3 linked regions of the Arabidopsis thaliana genome follow. The protein of the gene in region 2 purifies or fractionates together with the protein of the main gene of each other region. This does not show direct contact. Each region holds a gene or a part of one and is shown on either strand. Other genes may lie near its edges.

Region 1 (7,921 bases), about 13 Mb from region 2:
TGGGTCCAATCTTGATTATGTGGCTGTAAAACCTAAAAACATAAACTATTCACATGAATAAGATTTTGATTAGACAACAGTCTTACTTTTGTCTCTTCCTCTATAAGATTAATCTGACCCTTGAGCCACTCAAAAACAGGTATGTCTATATTCATTTCCTAATGTGACATCTACACACATATTATCTCTTTTTTTTTTAATCATGTGACTGTAGAAACTGATTAGTAAATAGTAATAGGAAAACAAAATACTTAGTATAGAGTTATATAGAGTATAGAGAGAGGGATGGGTCCAAATAGTTGATGATGGACCATGTGAAAAAAACAATGAAAGCCCACACCATTAATTGTGGTAAAGGATGAGAATCTAGTGTTGTAGTTTTCCATGTCCTTAAACGGTTAAACCTATCTTCTAACAAAATTCTCCACCTTCCCTTCTGACATCTCCCATCACTTCTCTCTTAATTTATTCCATCCATTCCACCAAATTTTTAGTTTCACTTTTTTTACTGTAGTGTGTTTACACTTGTGAGTGAGTGAAAAAGTAAAGCTAGAGAGGTTACTGTTTTGAGATGCTCTTTTTAGAAAGGGCCATATATAAATGGTAGTGTAGTAGTACTAGTGGAGCTTCTTCATATACAATTTTGACTTCTCTTCATTGAATGTAGGAGAGAGGCTCTTTACATCATAAATAAAACAAGAACACAGCTTTCAGAGAGATAGAGTGAGATTCTCCTTCATTAACATATTCTTCTTCATGTTATAAGAAGAAGAAGAAGAAGTGTCCAAAAGGATTAGAGATGGGTGGATGCACAAGCAAGCAAGAGAGGAGAGGTGTGAGAAGTGTGAAGGAGACATCAAAAGACCAAAGCAGAGGAAGAAGACACCTGATAAAAGAGAGAGATGAGAGAGAGAAAGTGATGTTTCTTCAGCTTAAAGAGGCGGAGAGAGAGTGGAGAAAAGAGAGGAAGAAGCTGAGAGAGGAAGTGAGAAGACTAAGGAAGAAGCTAGAGGAAAGAGAAGAAGCAAAGACAACAACAACAGAGGAAAGAGAGTATTGGAAGTGGGTGGTTGAGGAGATGTGTGTAGAGAGAGCAGTGAGAGATGAAGCCGTTGAGAAATGGAAACAACTCTATTTAGCTATCAAGAATGAGCTTGATCATCTCATCTCCCACACTACTTCTTCCTCCGGTAAAATAAACTCAACTTATTTCAACTTAAAATTAGAAAAAGTAAATAGGATCTTTAAAGTGTGTGTTTGTAGGAGAAGCAATCATGCAAAGGAAACTTGAGGAACAAGAAGAAGAAGAAACAGAAGCAAAGAGAGTTGAAGTATTGAGAGATGAAGTTAGAGTTAAAGAAGAGACAGTTGAGACACTTGAAGAGCAAATAGTTTTGATGGATAGACAAAAGTATGAGAAAGAAAGAGAGATTGACTTATTGAGACAGAGTCTAAGGATTCTTGGAAGCAAGAAGAAAAAGAAGACAGGATCATTCGCATCAATGAATCTGTTGATATTGAAGACCAAATGTGTCGAATGTACATAAACACTTTTTACTCAAATAGTCTTCTGCAAACAGTCATATCTCGTCAGAGAATCTTGATCCACAATGTCATATTTATTTCTCTTTTGGTTATTTTACAATTTTTATTTTGGAAATATAGTAAATCATAGCACTATGAGTTCAAAAAGCACATGTCCCATGAAAGATTTGCACAAATCGTTTTTTTTTTTTTTTGTTGGAGTTAGATACAATTCTTTAGCAATAATGATAATGAACCATTTTTCCAAAGAACAGAAACTGTGGAAAAAAACTTACTAGACACTAAAAGTCTAAAACACCACTTGCTTTTTTATAGCCCAAGAAACTTCTAGTTCTAATTAAGAATGTCCAACTTCCGGTTCGGTTACTGAAAATTATCAAATTTTTGTTAGATGAGATAAAGAAGTGAATCCTACAAGAAATATATCATGTGGTTCGGTTTGGTACAATTTTGATTTCTGCTAGGGTTTTATCCTTTTTAGCAAAATTTACTTTAATTTCCGTAGTAAAAAAGAAGAAGTTTTAGTTGGTTTATTTCTTATTTTTGCTTCGATTACGGCATTTAATTTTAGCAATATTTCATTAACAAAAAAAAACAATTCTAATTGGTTTATTTCTACTTCTTTTTCTGTCTTGGTTTGATCTCTATTACTATATTGATTATGAAAAAAATATGAAACCAAAACCATTTATTATGTCTTCAATTCCATTTTTAACCCAATTATTTCACTACAATTGTAATAACCGGTTATTGCACCCCTAATTATAACTATTTAAGCAATCGCATATACCAAACCAGCGAGTTAAACCAAATTGTTTCCCAAATTATGCTAAACGACAGCGTTTTCACAAATTACCAAAAAAACCTATTTTTCTGTATCTATCTGAATTCAGAGTCCTGACCATTTTATCTCACTCTCACAAAGTCTTCACTTTTGAAGTGTCTCCTCCACACGCACTGCGCCGCCAAAAAACCCTTCTTTAAACCCTTTCCTCCTCGCGCCGTCATGCAAGCCACCATCTTCTCTCCACGCGCCACTCTCTTCCCCTGTAAACCTCTCCTCCCTTCCCACAATGTCAACTCTCGCCGTCCCTCAATCATCTCCTGCTCCGCCCAATCCGTAACCGCTGATCCTTCACCACCTATCACTGACACCAATAAGCTCAACAAATACAGCTCAAGAATCACTGAACCCAAATCCCAAGGTGGGTCTCAAGCAATTCTTCACGGTGTTGGTTTATCAGACGACGATTTGCTAAAACCCCAGATTGGTATCTCGTCGGTTTGGTATGAAGGGAACACTTGTAACATGCATTTGCTGAAATTGTCTGAGGCTGTGAAAGAAGGAGTTGAAAATGCAGGAATGGTTGGGTTTAGGTTTAATACTATTGGTGTGAGTGATGCTATTTCGATGGGAACGAGAGGGATGTGTTTTAGTTTGCAATCTAGGGATTTGATTGCTGATAGTATTGAGACTGTTATGAGTGCTCAGTGGTATGATGGTAACATATCTATTCCCGGTTGTGATAAAAATGTGAGTTTTTTTTTTTTAATCATCGATCTTTGTGTTGTCTTTATCTCCATGTTTTATGTGATTTGTTTGCTATAATGTTATTGTTGTAATACTTTTAGATGCCTGGAACTATTATGGCTATGGGAAGGCTTAACAGACCAGGGATTATGGTTTATGGTGGAACCATTAAGGTACTTACTTTTATCAAATTGATGAGAAGATAGTTTCTTAAACCCTAAACCCTTGTGCCTAGTTGGATAGCCTATTCACCTTGCTTTGATATTATTGCAGCCTGGCCATTTTCAAGACAAGACATATGACATTGTATCTGCTTTCCAGGTATCTTTTCTTCTATCTGCTACGAGCTTGGTTATAACAATTTTAATGTGTATTTATGAGACTTCATTGAGTTTTCCAATTTTGGGATTGAGTTACAGAAATCTTGGTGACTTTGGTGTCAAATTGTACCAGTACTTGTGGGATTCATCATGTTTTCCAATTTTGTATTTCAGAGTTATGGAGAATTTGTTAGTGGCTCCATAAGTGATGAACAGAGAAAGACTGTCCTCCATCATTCATGTCCTGGAGCTGGAGCCTGTGGTGGCATGTACACAGCGAATACAATGGCTTCTGCTATCGAAGCAATGGGAATGTCCCTTCCTTACAGGTGAGGCTTTCAGTCCTGAAGACCACATTTATAAATCAACTTCAAACGTTTTCCCAGATTTGTGCTTAATAGAAAGTTATTTCCACAAGAACATTGTAGATCCTAAACTGTAATTGTGGAATGCTTATTTCAAAAGTTCATATATTTGCTTCTTCTTTTTTTTTTGAAGTTCTTCAATACCTGCTGAAGACCCATTGAAGTTGGACGAGTGTCGCTTAGCAGGAAAATATCTTCTAGAATTGCTAAAGATGGACTTAAAACCCCGTGACATTATCACTCCAAAATCACTTCGTAATGCAATGGTTTCCGTCATGGCCCTTGGGGGATCGACAAATGCAGTATTGCATCTAATTGCTATTGCAAGGTGACAGATTGTTATGATGTTTCTTATTATTACCATGGAAAGCAATGGACCGAAGTAATGAATGGAAATGATTTCAGGTCTGTTGGTTTGGAGTTGACTCTTGACGATTTTCAGAAAGTTAGCGATGCGGTTCCATTTCTAGCAGATCTTAAACCCAGTGGGAAGTATGTTATGGAGGATATACATAAGGTAAGGCTTTGGCGAAATCGTTTTGCTTATTACTTATCTGTTTTTTTATTGGTCAGTTTGTAAGTTTTGTTGTTTAATCTACAGATAGGTGGTACGCCAGCTGTTCTCCGCTATTTATTAGAGCTAGGATTGATGGATGGTGATTGTATGACAGGTAGAAATGCTCAAACATTTTATAAACTGACTTAGCAATTTGGATTGATGTGAAATGGCATAACTACGCTTTTGTATCTCTACCAGTGACAGGGCAGACTTTGGCTCAAAATTTAGAAAACGTCCCAAGCTTAACAGAAGGGCAGGTATTTGTAATGTTATTAGTTATCTCATTAGATTCTACCGCCTGTTTCTTCTTGATTATGATGGTTGTTAGTTATACAGGATTCTAATTAATTCTGATAATGTTCCAGGAGATAATTAGACCTCTGTCAAATCCAATCAAGGAGACTGGACACATACAAATTTTGAGAGGAGACCTTGCACCAGATGGTTCTGTAGCAAAAATTACCGGCAAAGAGGGCTTATATTTCTCTGGTAATGTTGGTTCACTCTAGTACCTCCTTTACACTCCATATTTAGCTAATGCTTCTGAATATTAGGGCTTATATGATGGAACTATTTATTTTAGGTCCTGCACTTGTATTTGAAGGAGAGGAATCTATGTTGGCTGCTATATCAGCAGACCCAATGAGTTTTAAGGTAATTTCCTTTCTGATATGAAGTTCATCTCAGGAGCTGGTTATATATCTTTTATCTGATGAAATGTATCGTGTTTCAGGGAACTGTGGTTGTTATCAGAGGAGAGGGGCCTAAAGGAGGTCCAGGTATGCCTGAGATGTTGACACCGACAAGTGCAATAATGGGTGCCGGTCTTGGAAAGGTATGATATGACCAGTATGACTGGGTTAGTGAGACATTTATTAAGTCTGATCAATTTTTATGTTCTAAATTAAAGAACTCGTTATTTTTCCTTTGATATGGTCTGACTATATTATGCTTATGGTAGTGACCTAAATCTTTTTATCTACTTTGTCCATATCCGAGAACACACCTTATATAAAGTGCCAATATGTTGCTATTGGGTGATGCAGGAATGTGCATTACTGACTGATGGTAGGTTCTCTGGTGGGTCACACGGTTTTGTTGTTGGCCACATTTGCCCTGAAGCTCAGGTCTCTCTCTCTCCCTTTTTTTTTTCTCTCTGCCCACTGGCTCCATCAGAGCAAAATTCTAAATTTTGCACTTGCAAGATAAATTTGATAGATCCATGTCCCTCTTCTGGGATATTTTTCTTGTGTATTGAAAAATAAATGCTACTGGGTCATAGTCATATATAGTTTTAGCAAAAAGGAACAAGGGTCAAGGGATCCTGTAATAGTTTGTGGTGGCTCTTATGCAGTTATGATGATTTTGGAATATTTCAAATAATAAAACTGATATTAATGTGATTGGAGAATGTGAAGATAATAATGCTGAAAGCAATTCTCCGGTGTGCTTACTATTTATCTGTGCAGGAGGGTGGTCCGATCGGTCTGATCAAGAACGGAGACATAATCACCATTGACATAGGAAAGAAGAGAATAGACACACAAGTCTCACCCGAAGAAATGAATGACCGTAGAAAGAAATGGACTGCTCCTGCATACAAGGTTAACCGCGGAGTCCTATATAAGGTACTATACGAATCCACTTGTATCTATATAATGTATGTCTCTTTGACATCTGATGGATTAGTTTCTAATGAATGGTTTATGATATTCTAAAAACAGTACATCAAGAACGTGCAATCGGCTTCAGATGGATGTGTGACTGACGAGTAAAGTGAACGATCTAAGAGAGAGTTTTGTGAATGAGCAGCAGAATGTAGTGTACGTTCATGAGGGAATTTGTAAGTTTATTTATTGTAGCTTCTAGATCATGTTACTTTGTGACTGATCATTAGCTATTTGCAGGGTTCGTTTTTAAGATTTTGTTTCTCTTAAATGTCAAAATAAAAACTTGTGATTGTGGCCGAATTCCAAAGAATATAAAGACAGAATAAAGACGGATTTGCATAAATACTTGTCTATGAGATTGAACTTAAGAGCCAATGTGGCAAACCAGCTATGCGTGAATAAGCTTGACGTTCTCTACATGGTTTAGAAAGATGTGAAATCCACTAACCTTAAAGGCTTGGGTTCCTTGGATTTCAAGTCTTTTCATCGTCTTTCTCTCGTTTCTGTAGGAGACAACATAAGGGTCATAAGAATAGTAAAACTCGAGCATGGTAATTAATATTTGATTCGACCAATTTATATCAAGGTGCAAGTATTTGTCTCAAAGGCTCGAGCATGACATCTCACAGAATTGTAAAATCATTCACATTTGAAATTTGATATCAAACTTAAAACAGAATCAATATAAACTAATTAGAAGGCTGTGGACGAGGGAGACGGGACAACCAACGAGGGAGAACATACTGTGAAGCGAGGAGAAGGTTAGGACCACCTTGAAACGATGGGGAAAAGTATCTATGAACGGTCTCCATATACTCGTTGCACCAGTTAAAGCTCAAGGTGCAACCATCCATACACTTCCTCTCGTCTTCGGATTCCTTGTGAAGACTAAACACATGCGTCCTCAAGTTAAACAAGACCATACCTTTCTTGTTTCTGCTCCACAAGTAGATGATCTCAGACTTCAAAGGATGCATCACCACCGGGAAGTAATCGATACCTAGCTTGGTCACAGACGCCAAGCTGGCTTCCCAAAAGAGCTGCCACGCCTCAGGACCATCAGTGTACTTGACCAGCCTCCAAACCCGTACTTTGCGGTTTGCGTTCCCACCAAACTCGTTGAAATACACAATAGACCCTTCCGAGGTAGTGATTGTTCTCCGAAAACGCGGTAACTCGTAATCTTTTCCATTATCGGGGAAATAAATGATACTACACGCATCATGATGACCTCCATAGAAATCGTAAGCTAAAAAAGAACCGGTGAGGTTGGAAAGCCAATGAAGAATCCCATTTAAAGCAATGGACTTGTGATGACTAAACCAATAGGCAGAATGAAGACAAGTCACATTTTTAATTTCCCATTCCCCTGTGTTAGATGAGTAAATCGCAAAATCGACTTGAGCAAAAGTGTGAGCGATCAACCACACAACCTTGTAACTCACAACAATACCACTTTGCATCTTTGTAACCAATCCACTGTCGCTGAAACGCTCGTGGTTCCTTAATTTCTCAACATTTTGAGAAGTGTATTTAGGACGGAGAGGGATTCGAAACCACTCTTGAAACAAAGGATTACCAACGTAATACATAGGAGTTCCAACGCAAGATTCTACGTAAAGAAGGACCAACCCATCGGTACAAGCTAAGACTTGTAGTTTCCTGATTGTGGTCTCGGCAAAGAAACTCACTAAAGATCCGGGAGAACGAGTAAGTCCCCATGTTTTGCATCCATGGTGACCAACGATTTCAAGTGTCAGTTTGTGAGGTCTCGTTTGGATGATTGACCATGAGACTGAGGAAGAGTTGTGAGACATGAAGCAATCTCGGAAGAATTCGGAGTCGATGACCAGTTTCCATTCTTTGCACATTGATCTGAATCTTGCGAGGCTCTTCAATGGAAGTCGCACCAAAACTTCAAAGGTCAATTC
Region 2 (7,803 bases):
ACTTTGATCAGTCACATTACTTATAAAACGATCTTTGTGTATGGTAAAAAAGATTATAAGTTTAAATCAACCCGCAGCTTGGAAATCTCCAAAGTCATCATCTGGTGCATCTTCAACCCCTCCATCTTTGGCTTTTAGGTCTTCTTTCTTCTCTTCTTCTTCTTCTTCTCGCTTTGTATCTAAATCTTGTTGTTCAGACGATCTTTGGAGGCTGAGGCTTGGCGGCAGACTTGACGGGGACTTCTGAGCAGTTGTGACAGGGGAAAGCGGTCCCGGAGGTGGAGGTGGCAGGATGATTGAAGGAATGGTGGTTTCTATTGACTTGCCTTTATCCTCCAACGAGAGATTGCCCAGACTCTTCTCTACCGTTTTTGACTTGCTGTCTTTATCGCTTCTCTGTTTCAATCATTTTGATGTGAAAAACAAAAAGAAACCTTGTGGGAAATGTATCCAGACAATAACTGTAAATCTTACATTTTTGAGTTGGAGAACAATGGTTTCTCCTTCCTTTAAGCTGTAATCAACGGATGAAGTGTTCTGATAGTGTTGTTCCATTTCTTCTGCTGTTTTCTTCTTGTTCAAATACCTTTAGCAAAGAGAGAGAAAGAGAGGGTGGTCAGATTCAAACATGATTTAGTTTTTCGAAAGAACACTTAGAAATCTGGAAGTGGAATGTTACTTCATATGGTCATGTAGTGCTGCTTGGAAATCATATGCTTCTGTTCTTTCCCGGAATCCGAGTCCGATAAAAGCATGTCGAACACGACCATCTGCATTGCATCAAAGAACTAAACTCAAATAACAACTACAAGTTAACATCTCTATATCTATATGGAAAGTACGTACCTATCTTTTCTTCAACACGGAGAACAAAATATCTTCAAGACAAAACAGATTATTTTTTGTTAGACTAGCTGCACATCATGAGAAGAGCAAGTTAAGTTATGTGGTCAACTTTTTGTTACCTGCTACTGTCGATTACTGCTTCTACAGGATGAAGTTCCCCCTCTCTTAGAAATGCCTGAGCGTAAAGTTCCCCTGTGGTTTTATCTACTAGTTTTATAATGCATTCTTCTCCTTTGCTCACCACTTTCAAAGCTCCTTCCCATGCCCATTTGTTCACGTCCCACTCATCTGCTCTGCAAGGATAAAATTTATACAAAAAAAGTATCAGCTGATGTCTATCTCCATCTTCCAATGGATTACTTGATGCACTTTTTCAAGTATCTTTTACCAAAGAAGCCAAGTTGAGTTGATACAAAGCGAATGTAACTAGATAATGACCATCTTGATGCAAATTAAGGTTAAGCTACCATTCATAGTCATACATACTTCACGATTGGTTCAATAAGATTCGTTCCGAGTTTCTGATCATTTGCTAAGCCGAAGGGTTTATCGGGAAAAGGGGTTTTGTAAAAATCTCCTAACTACATATATCAGAATGACTGTTTCTATCATAAAGGTAAGAAAGAACCTGTACGAAGCTGCGGTTTTCCTTGGAGGTATCTGCATACACAAACAAAAAGACAATGAAGAGGTTACTTTGCCTAGCATCCCCGTAAAGTAACAGACACAGAAGAAAGCATAAACGATAAAATAACATTGATACATCAAGCTCCAATGTTGTCCATTACGAATGAGAATTTTATAGTTAAACCTAAATAACAACAGTTCACAATGTCTATGATTTCATCAAGGTAGCCAATTTGGAATCTCATACATCCTATAACACAATGACCATGTAACAATTTCACGAGTATCTCAAAAGCTAGTATGATTTCAGAGAGACCCCATCAAGATATCACTTAGCATGATATTGGTTAAAATTAATGTACTCTTTTATCACAAGCCTTGAATCTATCATACGAAATCTCCTTGAAAAGATTTTTCGCTGATAGTTACATGTGCAATCGATCACCATTGCAAATCCAAACAAAATTTCGAGTGATCAAGACTCAACGTCAAGTTTTCAACATATGCAAATTAAGACAACTTCCTCAATACCATTGCAAGAAATCTATAACACCAGATTGAATTTACGTTATAACTAATTATCAGATCCAAAACATCTCCTAAAATCACCAAGTGAACTTGCAAAGAAAGGATGTAACTTGAGCATAAAAGACACAAAACTCATCAAAAATTATAAAATCACATCTCATGATAAGCCAAGAAAAGTTACCAAATAAACATAGCATTCAGGCACTTGGAACAGAGCAATCTCTATAGCTTCTCTCTCCTCGTTATCATCGACATTCACAGGATCAGTGGAAGACTTCTTGTCTTCCTCCATAGTCGAAGAAGACGAAGCTTGATCCATCTCAGAAACAAAGAATTTAACTTGGAGAAAAACCCAGATGAGACTAATCGATCAAACAAACCCGTAAATCTTAAATGTTAAGTCTTTCCCGAACTGTGATTACAACAATCTCACGAGTCGCGAAGACGAAGAAACGTAGAGGTTTCGCGTTAGGTGTGTGTAGTGTATACCATTACTTCAATCTGAGCTACTTCAAAACCATCAGATCTAAGCTACCTCTGTTAAATCTGAACCGTCTATTACGTTGACTTTGAAACCCTGATATAGACTAGACACCTATGTATCCTCCACCGCTGGGAAGTCAACATTGAAGCAGTTGATGGACCAACACCAACCAATAGAAAGAACGTCCACATTTACTTTAATGGGCCTTTTAAACTAATAGGCCTAGGCCCATTATAAATACATGGATTTGTTTTATTTTATTTTTCTCATATCTGTCTCTTGGTGGTGATGAGTAGGTAAACTGTGTGCGCTTATTAACTTCTCTCACACTGACTCTGCGACCCTAATTTGTGAGCTCTCTTCTCTTTGCGCAGTCAATTTGCTACAACTTAGAAAATGGCGGCGGCTACTTCATCCATCGCTCCTTCTCTTTCATGCCCATCTCCTTCTTCTTCATCCAAAACCCTTTGGTCTTCCAAAGCCAGAACCTTGGCTCTACCCAATATCGGTTTCCTCTCGTCTTCTTCCAAGTCTCTGAGGTCGCTTACTGCCACCGTCGCTGGAAATGGCGCCACTGGATCCTCCCTTGCCGCTCGCATGGTTTCTTCGTCTGCGGTCAAAGCCCCTGTTTCTCTCGATTTTGAGACATCTGTCTTCAAAAAGGAGAAAGTTTCTCTTGCTGGTTACGAAGAGGTTTATCTCATTTACCCTCTTATTCATTTCTGTTCTAATTTGTGCTTATTCTATAATCATTTTGATGTGTATTGATTTTGTTAGTTGTTGCTAATGTTTGGTTTCTGCTGATCTTTGTTTTAGTACATTGTGAGAGGAGGAAGAGACTTGTTCAAGCATCTCCCAGATGCTTTCAAGGGGATTAAGCAGATTGGTGTGATTGGCTGGGGATCTCAGGTACTTACCTTTTTTGGTCTCTTTATCTGTAGCTACTGTGCTTCTTGTTTGATTGCTTTTTAAATTGCTTACGTTGGATTGCGAATAAGGAATCTTGGTTCTGTGTTGTGATACGAAATTGGTCAGAAAAAGGATATGAATAAAGTGTTTTCATTTTCATACTTTTGATGCATTTGAGTTGGTGGAATGAACAAGATTAATATATTGTTTCATATTCTTTTTATTCAGCATCTCTTCTCTTGTAATAAACGCTTTATCTATATATGCAGGGACCTGCCCAGGCTCAGAATTTAAGGGATTCACTTGTGGAGGCAAAGTCTGACATTGTTGTCAAGGTATTTCAACTGCAGAGTTGGCTTCATACTTGTATTTGTTTGCTTTCTGTTGTTACGTGAAGGCTCTGTTCTGACTTTGTTTTCGTTTTAATATACTATTACGTAGATTGGTCTCAGAAAAGGGTCTCGCTCATTTGAGGAGGCACGTGCTGCTGGCTTCACTGAAGAAAGTGGTACTTTGGGTGATATATGGGAAACTATCGCTGGCAGTGATCTTGTATTGCTTTTGATCTCTGATGCTGCTCAAGTAAGTGCACTTTTGTTATATATTTCCACTACTACTTGTTGAGGTATTAGTCCTAAGGTGTATACATCGATTTTATTCTATCCTGTTTTTGCAGGCTGATAACTATGAGAAAATATTCTCTCACATGAAGCCAAACAGCATTCTTGGTTTATCACACGGGTTTCTACTAGGGCATTTACAGTCCTCGGGACTCGATTTCCCAAAGAACATCAGTGTGGTCGCTGTATGCCCTAAGGGAATGGGTCCTTCTGTGAGGAGGCTTTACGTCCAAGGAAAAGAAATTAACGGTGCTGGAATCAACGCCAGTTTTGCAGTCCACCAGGTTTTCTATCTCTTTATCTCTACTGCAAAAGCTATCTTTACTGAAAAGCTCTTATACCTCATGTGTTCATTTTTTCACCACTATTTCTGCTATTCTGTTGGCAGGATGTTGACGGTAGAGCCGCCGATGTTGCATTGGGATGGTCAGTAGCACTTGGTTCTCCGTTTACTTTTGCTACTACTCTTGAACAGGAGTACAGGAGTGACATCTTTGGAGAAAGAGGTGAGTTTGATCCCCTTTTAGACCTGTCTTTATATCACTCAATCCCATACTTACATATCTTCTTCTTTTTTGTTAAAAGGAATTTTGCTTGGTGCTGTTCACGGAATCGTGGAGTCTCTGTTTAGAAGATACACCGAAAATGGGATGAGTGAAGACTTGGCTTACAAGAACACAGTAGAATGCATCACAGGAACAATTTCAAGGACTATCTCTACCCAGGTTAGTAGGAAGATATCTGTAGAGAACAGACTAATTCGTTTTTAGCCAAATATAAAAATTTAAAACCTGTTTCTAATGAATTGTGAACATCAGGGAATGTTGGCTGTGTACAACTCCTTGTCTGAAGAAGGTAAAAAAGATTTTGAGACTGCATACAGCGCATCCTTCTATCCTTGTATGGAGATTCTCTATGAATGTTACGAGGATGTACAAAGTGGCAGCGAAATCCGAAGTGTTGTCTTAGCCGGTCGTCGCTTCTATGTAATGACTCTTCCGAATCTTCCTTTTGTTACAATTACCCAAACACAGTTTGTGCAGGAGTTTTGATGGATTCTCTTACTTATAACAGGAAAAGGAAGGCTTGCCAGCATTCCCTATGGGAAATATTGACCAGACAAGAATGTGGAAGGTGGGTGAACGCGTCAGGAAGTCCAGACCTGCTGGTGACTTGGGTCCATTGTATCCCTTCACCGCTGGAGTTTATGTAGCACTTATGATGGCTCAGGTATGTCTATGTTTATATCTGGTGTGCCCACCTTTGCTTTGGATTTTTCGGTTTATGCAATGTAGAGTCGGTTTCAATTTCCGTTCAGATTTTAGAAAATATACCTCTAATTGGAATATTTTTGTCATTGCAATAGGTTTGTATAGTCTAATTGGATTCTTCTTACTTCCATTTTGTTTCAGAGAAATTGTGATATCGATCTGTTTTGTATTCAATTTTGAATTCTTTTTTGTATGGTTTTAGTTCGAATTAGCCGCATTGGACAACCCCTAGAATTTAATATGCTATCAATTTTCAGTGATTTCTTAGAATCTAAATCATCGTGGTTTCTATGTGGATTTGTGTAGATTGAGATCTTGAGGAAGAAAGGTCACTCTTACTCAGAAATCATCAACGAGAGTGTGATTGAATCCGTGGACTCTCTAAACCCATTTATGCACGCCAGGGGAGTGTCCTTCATGGTTGACAACTGCTCAACCACAGCAAGATTGGGTTCGAGGAAATGGGCGCCACGGTTTGACTACATCCTGACCCAACAAGCTCTTGTGGCTGTGGACAGTGGTGCAGCAATCAACAGAGACCTAATCAGTAACTTCTTCTCTGATCCAGTCCATGGTGCCATTGAGGTCTGCGCACAGCTCAGGCCTACCGTTGATATCTCTGTGCCTGCTGATGCAGACTTTGTTCGACCTGAGTTGCGTCAATCTAGCAACTGAGTGAAGGGTTGAAAGTTTGTCAGTCTCTTATTTGTAATCGGAGTATTAAGTCGAGAGTTTGTGATGTTTTCTTAGGCGTGACTGTTTGTTTTGTTTGAAGGATTATGTCTCTTTGCTTTGGTCTTAAAATCTACTTAAATCAATAAAATAGTTTAACGAAATTTCGCTTTAACTATTTTCGTAACAACATTTGCAAACTTTCAACTTAATTTTGTCTAGAATTGTGTATTGTCAATTTCAGTAACTGAACTGGGATTAGAGACGCTTGAGAGTTAAAGAAGGAACCAGTATCGAGAGTTTAGGATTTGATGAAGTTTATATGTCTGCGTTAATCTTGCAACATTTAGGATACTTTTAGGATATAATAGTGTGTAATGCTACTTTTGTTGGGTCAAAAATAGTATGTTGCTATGTTGAATGATTGAATATAGAATAAAGAGATAAGTTTTTTACAAATGCCAGATAGATTGAATATATGTAGTCACTCTCCAACTTCAATTATATTATTATTACAAGGAAAAATCATTTGTGTGTGTGTGTGTGTGTGTGTTTTCTTTCTTTTCAAAACTAAAGATAAAGAAGAAAAAATTGGCAGAGCATAATGCTTTTGTCTCTCTTTTTACTGAGAAATGAAGAATCTAAATTATTAGAATCACATGTAATGACATGTGCTCTCCCTCTCCCTCTGCACATTTTGCATTATATGTCAAGTCTTTTTCCCTTTCCTTGTAAAATCAAAAAAAGAAGAAAAAAAGAGAGAGAGATAAATCCACAATGCTTGAGAAAAGGAAAAGAAACAGAGAACCAAGAGAATCTGAATTAATTAATAAATAAAAATTCTGCAATCATATGATAGTGTGGCTCAAGAATTAGAGAAAGACAAGACCAACATGTGTAGCCAATCATACTGTATTGCTCTTTTCCCACATTTCATGTTCATTTATCCTAAAAACTAAAAAGAAAAGAAAACACTAAAATCTCTCTTTTAACTTCAAGAATTCTTACTGTCCAATTGATAAGGATTCATGTTTTTGGTTTAACCAAAATTACAGCTCGAGTACAAACTGCTAAGACTATACTATATTCGAATTAGGTTTATTGCTTGATTTCCACCTAGACCTTACGAACATATGTACAGTAATGGTTTGTATTAGTATGTTGTTGTGTCACCATCCAAATTTAAAACATAGACAATTTTATTTGTACCAAGTTGATTGAATATTTTTTTTGTTCTACCAATTTATTAACCCAAAATAATTTATCATCTAGTGTATTTAAAAACATCAAAAATTAGTTATTTCTGGAAGGGAAAAGACTTTAATGAGTAATAATTAGTGGAATCCCATGACGGGACTATACCCTTTCAATTTATTTACTTTAATTTTGTTATAAGACAAAATCTCGGTGTTTGGTTTTTGTTAAAAGACAAAATCTTGGTGTTTAGTGTGAAATCATATATGATCTTGATTTGACACCAATGCTTTGTAATTATTTCTGTTAATACCAATTCAACCATGATTTCGATTTAGCCATAGAGTAAGAGTATGACTCATCATTATCATCATCATCATATATAAATAAACCTATATATTTTAATTTTTTCATCCAGAAAATTATTTAGAAGAAAACAAACGTGAGATGTACTCAAGTGGTCTTTCCGATTTTGTTTAATAATCTCAAAATTCATTTATTATTTACTTAACTATCTGCCACTGTTTAGCCTGTACATTATTATCTCTCTCTATATATATATATATATATCAAATAAGTTTGCACTAAGTCTTCTAAAAACCAATATATAGACTGGCATGTGAGATGTTAAATAAACATCACATAAATCGTG
Region 3 (6,653 bases), on a different chromosome or scaffold from region 2:
GGTGGATAAAAGAGGTGGTGGAGAGAAAGTGAGCAATGATTTTGGATGGGCTTGTGTTGTGATTCTGGAGAGTTTGATTCCAGTTATGGTTGATCCAGTGATGGGGAAGTCTCGGCTACTTGTAACTCCTAGCGTTAAGGAGAAAGCTAAAGAGATTGCTGAGACGTGGAAGGCTAGCTTGGAAGAGAGAGGAGGGATTGAGAATGTGAAAACACCTGATGTTCATACGTTTCTGCAACATCTTGTGACTTTTGGGATTGTGAAGAAGGATGATCTAGCTCTTTATAGGAAACTTGTGGTTGGTTCAGCTTGGCGTAAACAGATGCCAAAGCTTGCTGTTTCAGTTGGTTTGGGCGACCAAATGCCTGGTAATCTTTCTTCTTTACCTTTGATTACCATTAGATGTTTTTAGCTATATATTGGGGAAGCACAAGTTGTTGTCTTTTGTCATGGGAATCTGTGAGTAGTATCTGAAATGGAAAATGATGGTTTTTGGGTTGTTATGGCTTCACACAGATATGATTGAAGAGTTGATAATCAGGGGACAACAGCTTGATGCGGTTCATTTCACTTTTGAAGTTGGTCTTGTACACTTGTTCCCTCCTGTTCCTTTGCTCAAAGCTTATCTGAGGGATGCAAAGAAAGCTACAGCTTTAATCACTGATGATTCCAACAATTCTGGCCGATCTGCGGTACTTTCCTCCATTTGTGTTACTCGTTTTCTTTGCTGGATCCATTTGCAGGGATCTGTTTCTTCTGCACTCGCTTACCAATGTATGTGTGTATTTTTCTAGCATCTTGTGGCGCGCAAAGAGCAATCAGCACTTAGAGCAGTCTTAAAATGCATAGAAGAATACAAACTCGAGGAAGAATTCCCACCCGAGAATCTCAAGAAGAGGTTGGATCAGCTAGAGAAGACCAAAACCGAGAAGAGAAAACCAGCCGTGATTCCCGCCAACAAGAGAACCCGAGCAAGCTACAGCGGTCCAATGCCACCAGCCAAAGCAGGGCGTATCACAAACGCTTACGTCTCCTCTTTCCCACCGCCTCCACCAACATTCATCAGATCCCAAAGTCACTCACCTCAATACGGTGTACCAGCATACACCACATCCCCACCTACCATCTACAGCAACAGGAGCCCTCCATACCAATACTCACCCGAGGCGGTTCATGGTTCTTACCAAACCTCTCCGGTCAGTTATCCGACAGCATATGGTACCTACTGCAGTCCGGTGGCTGCTCCACCCCCTCCAGTTTACCATCCTCACCCGCACCACCACCACCATATTCAGCATGCTTACTACTGATTAGACAATGACAAAGGAAAAAAGAAGATGGTAAGTAACCAACCACTGATCTCTGGTGTCTACGTTTTGTCTCTACCTCGTTTTTGTTGTAATCTCTCTTTTTTTATATCGTATCATTTGTAGCTAACACTCTCACTCTTTCTGGTTCTGAATTAGTCTACCCTTGTGTGTTTATTAATCTAAATTATACATATCTATTCACTTTCCTAATGTTTCAATCAACGAATTTAGTTCAGTACTTAATAGATTCATCTTAAACCAGGAATGTTTCACTGTGATTATGTTATGTATCACTGTTTGTATTGGCTCATTGAAATCAAGATTTCGAAGTCTCATAGCAAGATTCGTTACAAAGTGTTCGTATTACACCAAAAAAAAGACTTCTTTAGTCTAAATCAAGAAGATGATTAGTCGTTGGCAGTGGCGAGCTGGAGAGACAAGAGTTCTTCCTCAGGGATCATCTTAATGTGACAATCAGAAGTTGGATACGAAGCACATAGAAGCGTGTAGCCACGTTCAACCACATCATCACTTAGCATCCCACCACTTTGATCCACCGTTCCGGTCACGAGTTTCGCTGGACAAGTCATACAAACACCGAGATTGCAGTCGTAGGGAACGTCAAGGCCAGAGTCAAGAGCCTTAGATAGAATCGTCTCGTCTGGTTCGACTTCCAATTCAGTCGTCTTTCCGTCGTGCTCTACCACCACTTTATATGCCCGAGCTATGATCCTTCCGGTGGTGAGAAAGTTCCGGCGGTTTGTTGTTGTTGAGAGTGTTGCGTTACGGAGTGGGAAGGAGAAGGAATTGGAGAGATAAGGTTTAGGGAGAGAGATTGTAGAAGTTTGAGTCGGGAGAGGAAGAGTCGCCATGAGAGACAGAGAGACGGAGACAAAAGAGTTTTTGTGTCAAGTGAGAGTGATGACTGTTTGTGGTGAATACGGAGATAAGGTTGATCATCGGTTGTAGATAGTGGTGGGACATAAAAACCGAAAACCGACTTAAACCGAAATTCATTAATGCATTAAACCGAATTAACCAAGATCTAATAAAATGAATTTTAAAATTTTAATTATATTCGTAATTAAGGGAAATATTTTTTCCAAAACAGTTTGAACAAATAAATTCAGTATTATTTTTCCATACTCAAAACTCCAAATCGGACTAACTGAAAAAAAGAAACCGAATGTTCAAACCCCAGTTATGGAAAATATTAACCGGACTTAATACGGATATGACCAAATCAGACCGAGAAGTAGTAATTCTGGTGACCAACCACCGCGTTTTTCTAAATTGATAGCGTGTGCCATGTGACTGACACCAAAGAGATCATATATCTCATCATTCGAAGATTTTATTCCATACAACCGATTTTCTCCATTTTCTTCAAAACGATTCGGGTCAAGGTTATTGACTTTCTCATTCAGGTATCATCTTCTTCCTCGTCCCATACTTTTTGATTCACTTGCTTATTCCTCTGCCGGTTTCGATTATATTTGTTTGGATCGGATAATTGTATGGGCTTAAGCTTATTTCGCTGTTAAATCTGTTGATTTGGTGTTAAGAGTGTTGTATAACTGGATTGGTGCTCATACATCTGGAGATTTATGTTTGATGATTTTGTATGATGTGTTTTTGGTTTGAGGATGATTTATTCCTTTGGTCTTACTTTTCTCTTTTTGTGAATTTAAGCAGTGAAGCTTGAATCATGGCCTCGAGAATTGCTAAAGATGTGACTGAAGTAAGGCTTTCAAGTTCTTTCACTGTTCATTTCACGAAGGAGTGAGCTTTGTTCCATGTTCATGTATTGATTGATTCTATTTGGCAGTTGATTGGGAACACTCCATTGGTGTATTTGAACAATGTTGCTGAAGGATGTGTTGGTCGTGTTGCTGCTAAGCTTGAGATGATGGAACCGTGCTCTAGCGTCAAAGACAGGTTTCTTCTCTAGTCCAGAAACTATGTGTTGTTTCTCGCTTCGAGTTTCGGTTTTGTGAAGACCTTGTACTTTGTTTATTTCTGCAGGATTGGTTTTAGCATGATTTCTGATGCAGAAAAGAAGGGTCTTATCAAACCAGGAGAGGTCAGTTTCGATTATCTGAATCTTCAAACCACTATTTTGTTTTTGTTTTCATTGTTTCTGACTTTTTGTTTGTTCTTTAGAGTGTGCTGATTGAGCCAACAAGTGGAAACACTGGAGTTGGGTTAGCATTCACGGCAGCTGCCAAAGGCTACAAGCTTATTATTACAATGCCAGCTTCTATGAGTACTGAGAGAAGAATCATTCTCTTAGCTTTTGGAGTTGAGTTGGTTTTAACTGACCCAGCTAAGGGCATGAAAGGAGCTATCGCAAAGGCGGAAGAGATTTTGGCGAAAACACCCAATGGTTACATGCTTCAGCAGTTTGAGAACCCTGCCAACCCTAAGGTATGCTTATTATTTACTATTGCTTTAGTGTATCTGTTTTTGTCTGTTTTTGAACCATATTAAGTCGATGGAATTTCACTGTCAAATGCAGATCCACTATGAGACTACGGGACCTGAGATATGGAAAGGCACTGGTGGCAAAATCGATGGCTTTGTTTCTGGGATTGGTACTGGTGGTACCATTACAGGTGCTGGGAAGTATCTTAAAGAACAGAACGCAAACGTCAAGGTGAGAGCTCCATCTTTTCGAACAACTGGCTTTGTTATCTAAGTGACTAAGTGGTGTGTCTTTGCACGGTTTCTCATTTTGTTTCCTCTTCTGTTAGCTGTATGGAGTGGAGCCAGTTGAAAGTGCTATTCTATCCGGTGGGAAGCCAGGTGATTTTGGTTCCCCCTGCGTTTATTACGATAACCATGCATGCATGTTCCTCGTTTCTCGGTTTGCCTCATGTCTTATTTTTTATCCTCGGAGTTTCCTAACACATGATGTTTGCTGAAAATATCAAGGTCCTCACAAGATTCAAGGGATAGGAGCTGGTTTTATACCAAGTGTATTGAATGTTGATCTTATTGACGAAGTTGTTCAGGTAAGACTGCTTTTCGATATTATCGACTGATAGCAAAACACAATTGAATGCAAGAGAGCTTCATTTCTTACTTGACTCTCTCCATTTTCCTGTAACGCTTTCAACAGGTTTCAAGTGATGAATCCATTGACATGGCAAGGCAGCTTGCTCTTAAAGAAGGTCTTCTTGTAAGTGTTTCACATTTCACAACAAAAAGCTATCTCCATCAGAATTACAACTTCGTTCTGTTTCTAAAAACAAAAGCTATACTGTAGGTGGGAATATCATCCGGTGCAGCAGCTGCTGCAGCAATTAAACTTGCACAGAGGCCAGAAAACGCTGGGAAGCTATTTGTGGTAAGCTCTTTGATTCTATCATCACCCCAAAGCCAATAAGCTCTGATTACATAACCCGGATTTCTTTCTGATTCTGATGTAAACGAAATCAACTGAATTATTTTACAGGCGATATTCCCGAGTTTCGGGGAGAGGTATCTATCAACGGTACTTTTCGATGCGACAAGGAAAGAAGCGGAAGCCATGACCTTCGAGGCTTGAACATTCTCCATTTCTTCTTAAGAGACGCCAAAATAAAAGAGATGTTCAGTTTCTCCTATAGAGACTCTTCATCTTTAGTTACATTGCGTCTTTGCTTCCATCTGTATCTTCTCTTGTGTGCCAATAAAAGTCAAACTAGATTTTCTCTGTTTCTTTTGTGAACCACTTGCTTGTTAATGAAGTTTAAATTTGCTATGTAACTTTGTTCATAAGTATCATACTGTTTCATGATCAAAACTAAACCAACATAACCCAAGTCAATATTTCAGGCTAAATATAAGATTAGGATAAGAAGAAGGTAATGCTCAAAAGGAGTGATTCCGATAATTCTCTTTATCATCATCTACACAAATCAACAATGTTTCGATTTCTCATTGCAATCACTAAAAATTGTACACACAAATTTTACCATTTTCAATTCACAGGATCAGCTGAAGAAGTCTTGAACACCTCTTCCGATGAACACTCGATCAGAGAGTTCAGCCAAAAGGAAATTGACAGTGAGCAAGACGACGCTAGAGCCAGCGATAACACCGAGCACGACGCCGGTAGTTCCGAGAACTTTCTGAAACGCCGGCCACTCAATCTCCTTCACTTCCTCCGCAACTCCACTAAGAAACTCGTTCTTCCCTTTCTCTTCCTCCGCCGTTTTCCTCTGCTCCATCGCTGCTTTTATCTCTGCTCCTATCGCGCTAATCTCCACTTCCTTATCTTCTCCGCTTCCACTCTCTTCCGCCGGTGACGGAGTCGCTTCTGATTCCGATTCAGATCCAGCTGTATCTCGTCTCTGTTCTATAGCCTTAGCCACAAAACACGCCGATTTCCTCAGATTACTCGTCGTCATAGTTCTTATCTCAGTGTAAACCGGAAATACACGGAGATTAGACAGTGACGGTTTTGTATCCCGGAGACTCCTGGTTATTCCGGTGACCGGCGGCGAGAATTGTGCGGTTAGTGACATTTTTCGAAATTGGGAACTTTTTTAAGTTTTCTCAATTTTAGATTTGTGGATAATTCAGATATCTGAAGACTGAAGTAAATGATCAGATACAGCAATGAGTATAGTAAGAGTTGCTACAATTATTATGGGCCTTATAAAGCCCAAATATTTATTTGAAAAAATTTAAATTTAGGATAAAAAATGCTCTGGCGACGGCGACGGAGAAAGTAACCAGAGGAGCGTATCGGCGAAAGCAGAGACGATGAATCTGTGAGTATGTTTCGGATTCAAATAGAGATAACAGAATAACAGTTCGTGCAAGTATTCTCTATCGGCGACGACGTCTCTCGTTAAATCTCTAGCTTCCACCATCTCTCTCATCGATCTTCCGAAATCTCTGTACGGATCCGGTGACTCTATGTGCTTCATTATCGCCGTCCCGCCGCTTAAAAGCTTCGAAACGGAGGTGGTGGTTTCGTCTTCTTCTTCTTCTTCGCGGCGGTTAGTGGAGAACACCCCGGCGGGGTTCTCGGAACTGTGACGGCGGTGGAGGGGAGAAGAAACAGAGAGCTGATCGTAAAGAGAGTTGAAGTTGTTGATGAAGATTGAGGGAGTGTGATGAGGATGAGATTGAGCGTTGTGATTTGATACGATGATCGGAGAGGAAGGAATCGACGGTGAGAGACCACCGGAAGAGGAGAAACAGAGGTGTAGCTTCTTCCTTAGAAAATTAGACATTTTTGGTTTGTTTAGTTTTTAATCAAATGTAATTAAGGAGGCAATGCTTATTTATACATGCAAAAATACGTGTATTAAGACTTAAGAGGAGGTCACGTAGTGAATGCAATGTCCA

The links. Proteins that work in one complex are often made in the same cells at the same time.
Region 1: the proteins of AT3G58610 (region 2) and AT3G23940 fractionate together in Arabidopsis thaliana (co-fractionation; one large-scale study listed by BioGRID). This does not show direct contact.
Region 3: the proteins of AT3G58610 (region 2) and OASA1 fractionate together in Arabidopsis thaliana (co-fractionation; one large-scale study listed by BioGRID). This does not show direct contact.

Annotation. Positions count from the first base shown.
Region 1 is NC_003074.8:8,646,229-8,654,149, forward strand, and holds AT3G23940 (dehydratase family), read left to right. Parts: upstream 1-2,440; 5' UTR 2,441-2,551; coding exon 2,552-3,079; intron 3,080-3,177; coding exon 3,178-3,249; intron 3,250-3,349; coding exon 3,350-3,397; intron 3,398-3,570; coding exon 3,571-3,725; intron 3,726-3,894; coding exon 3,895-4,089; intron 4,090-4,166; coding exon 4,167-4,278; intron 4,279-4,362; coding exon 4,363-4,432; intron 4,433-4,518; coding exon 4,519-4,577; intron 4,578-4,685; coding exon 4,686-4,809; intron 4,810-4,903; coding exon 4,904-4,974; intron 4,975-5,053; coding exon 5,054-5,155; intron 5,156-5,366; coding exon 5,367-5,447; intron 5,448-5,789; coding exon 5,790-5,948; intron 5,949-6,044; coding exon 6,045-6,095; 3' UTR 6,096-6,377; downstream 6,378-7,921. Other genes in the region: AT3G23930 (troponin T, skeletal protein), read left to right, coding at 800-1,190, 1,264-1,547; AT3G23950 (F-box family protein), read right to left, coding at 6,680-7,921. UniProt on the Arabidopsis thaliana protein: Functions in the biosynthesis of branched-chain amino acids.
Region 2 is NC_003074.8:21,668,680-21,676,482, forward strand, and holds AT3G58610 (ketol-acid reductoisomerase), read left to right. Parts: upstream 1-2,753; 5' UTR 2,754-2,881; coding exon 2,882-3,178; intron 3,179-3,301; coding exon 3,302-3,394; intron 3,395-3,663; coding exon 3,664-3,729; intron 3,730-3,835; coding exon 3,836-3,976; intron 3,977-4,070; coding exon 4,071-4,298; intron 4,299-4,402; coding exon 4,403-4,520; intron 4,521-4,599; coding exon 4,600-4,739; intron 4,740-4,832; coding exon 4,833-5,000; intron 5,001-5,088; coding exon 5,089-5,244; intron 5,245-5,591; coding exon 5,592-5,960; 3' UTR 5,961-6,052; exon of another isoform or gene 6,053-6,206; intron 6,207-6,274; 3' UTR 6,275-6,411; downstream 6,412-7,803. Other genes in the region: AT3G58600 (Adaptin ear-binding coat-associated protein 1 NECAP-1), read right to left, coding at 67-396, 475-586, 680-770, 847-878, 966-1,139, 1,475-1,506, 2,183-2,320.
Region 3 is NC_003075.7:8,516,416-8,523,068, reverse strand, and holds OASA1 (O-acetylserine (thiol) lyase (OAS-TL)), read left to right. Parts: upstream 1-2,472; 5' UTR 2,473-2,737; exon of another isoform or gene 2,738-2,932; intron 2,933-3,002; exon of another isoform or gene 3,003-3,005; 5' UTR 3,006-3,018; coding exon 3,019-3,051; intron 3,052-3,138; coding exon 3,139-3,248; intron 3,249-3,335; coding exon 3,336-3,393; intron 3,394-3,473; coding exon 3,474-3,737; intron 3,738-3,828; coding exon 3,829-3,966; intron 3,967-4,063; coding exon 4,064-4,115; intron 4,116-4,244; coding exon 4,245-4,324; intron 4,325-4,431; coding exon 4,432-4,491; intron 4,492-4,578; coding exon 4,579-4,659; intron 4,660-4,767; coding exon 4,768-4,860; 3' UTR 4,861-5,109; downstream 5,110-6,653. Other genes in the region: AT4G14900 (FRIGIDA-like protein), read left to right, coding at 1-368, 517-692, 795-1,310; FdC1 (2Fe-2S ferredoxin-like superfamily protein), read right to left, coding at 1,718-2,182; SECE1 (secE/sec61-gamma protein transport protein), read right to left, coding at 5,288-5,821; OFP11 (ovate family protein 11), read right to left, coding at 5,990-6,538. UniProt on the Arabidopsis thaliana protein: Acts as a major cysteine synthase, probably involved in maintaining organic sulfur level.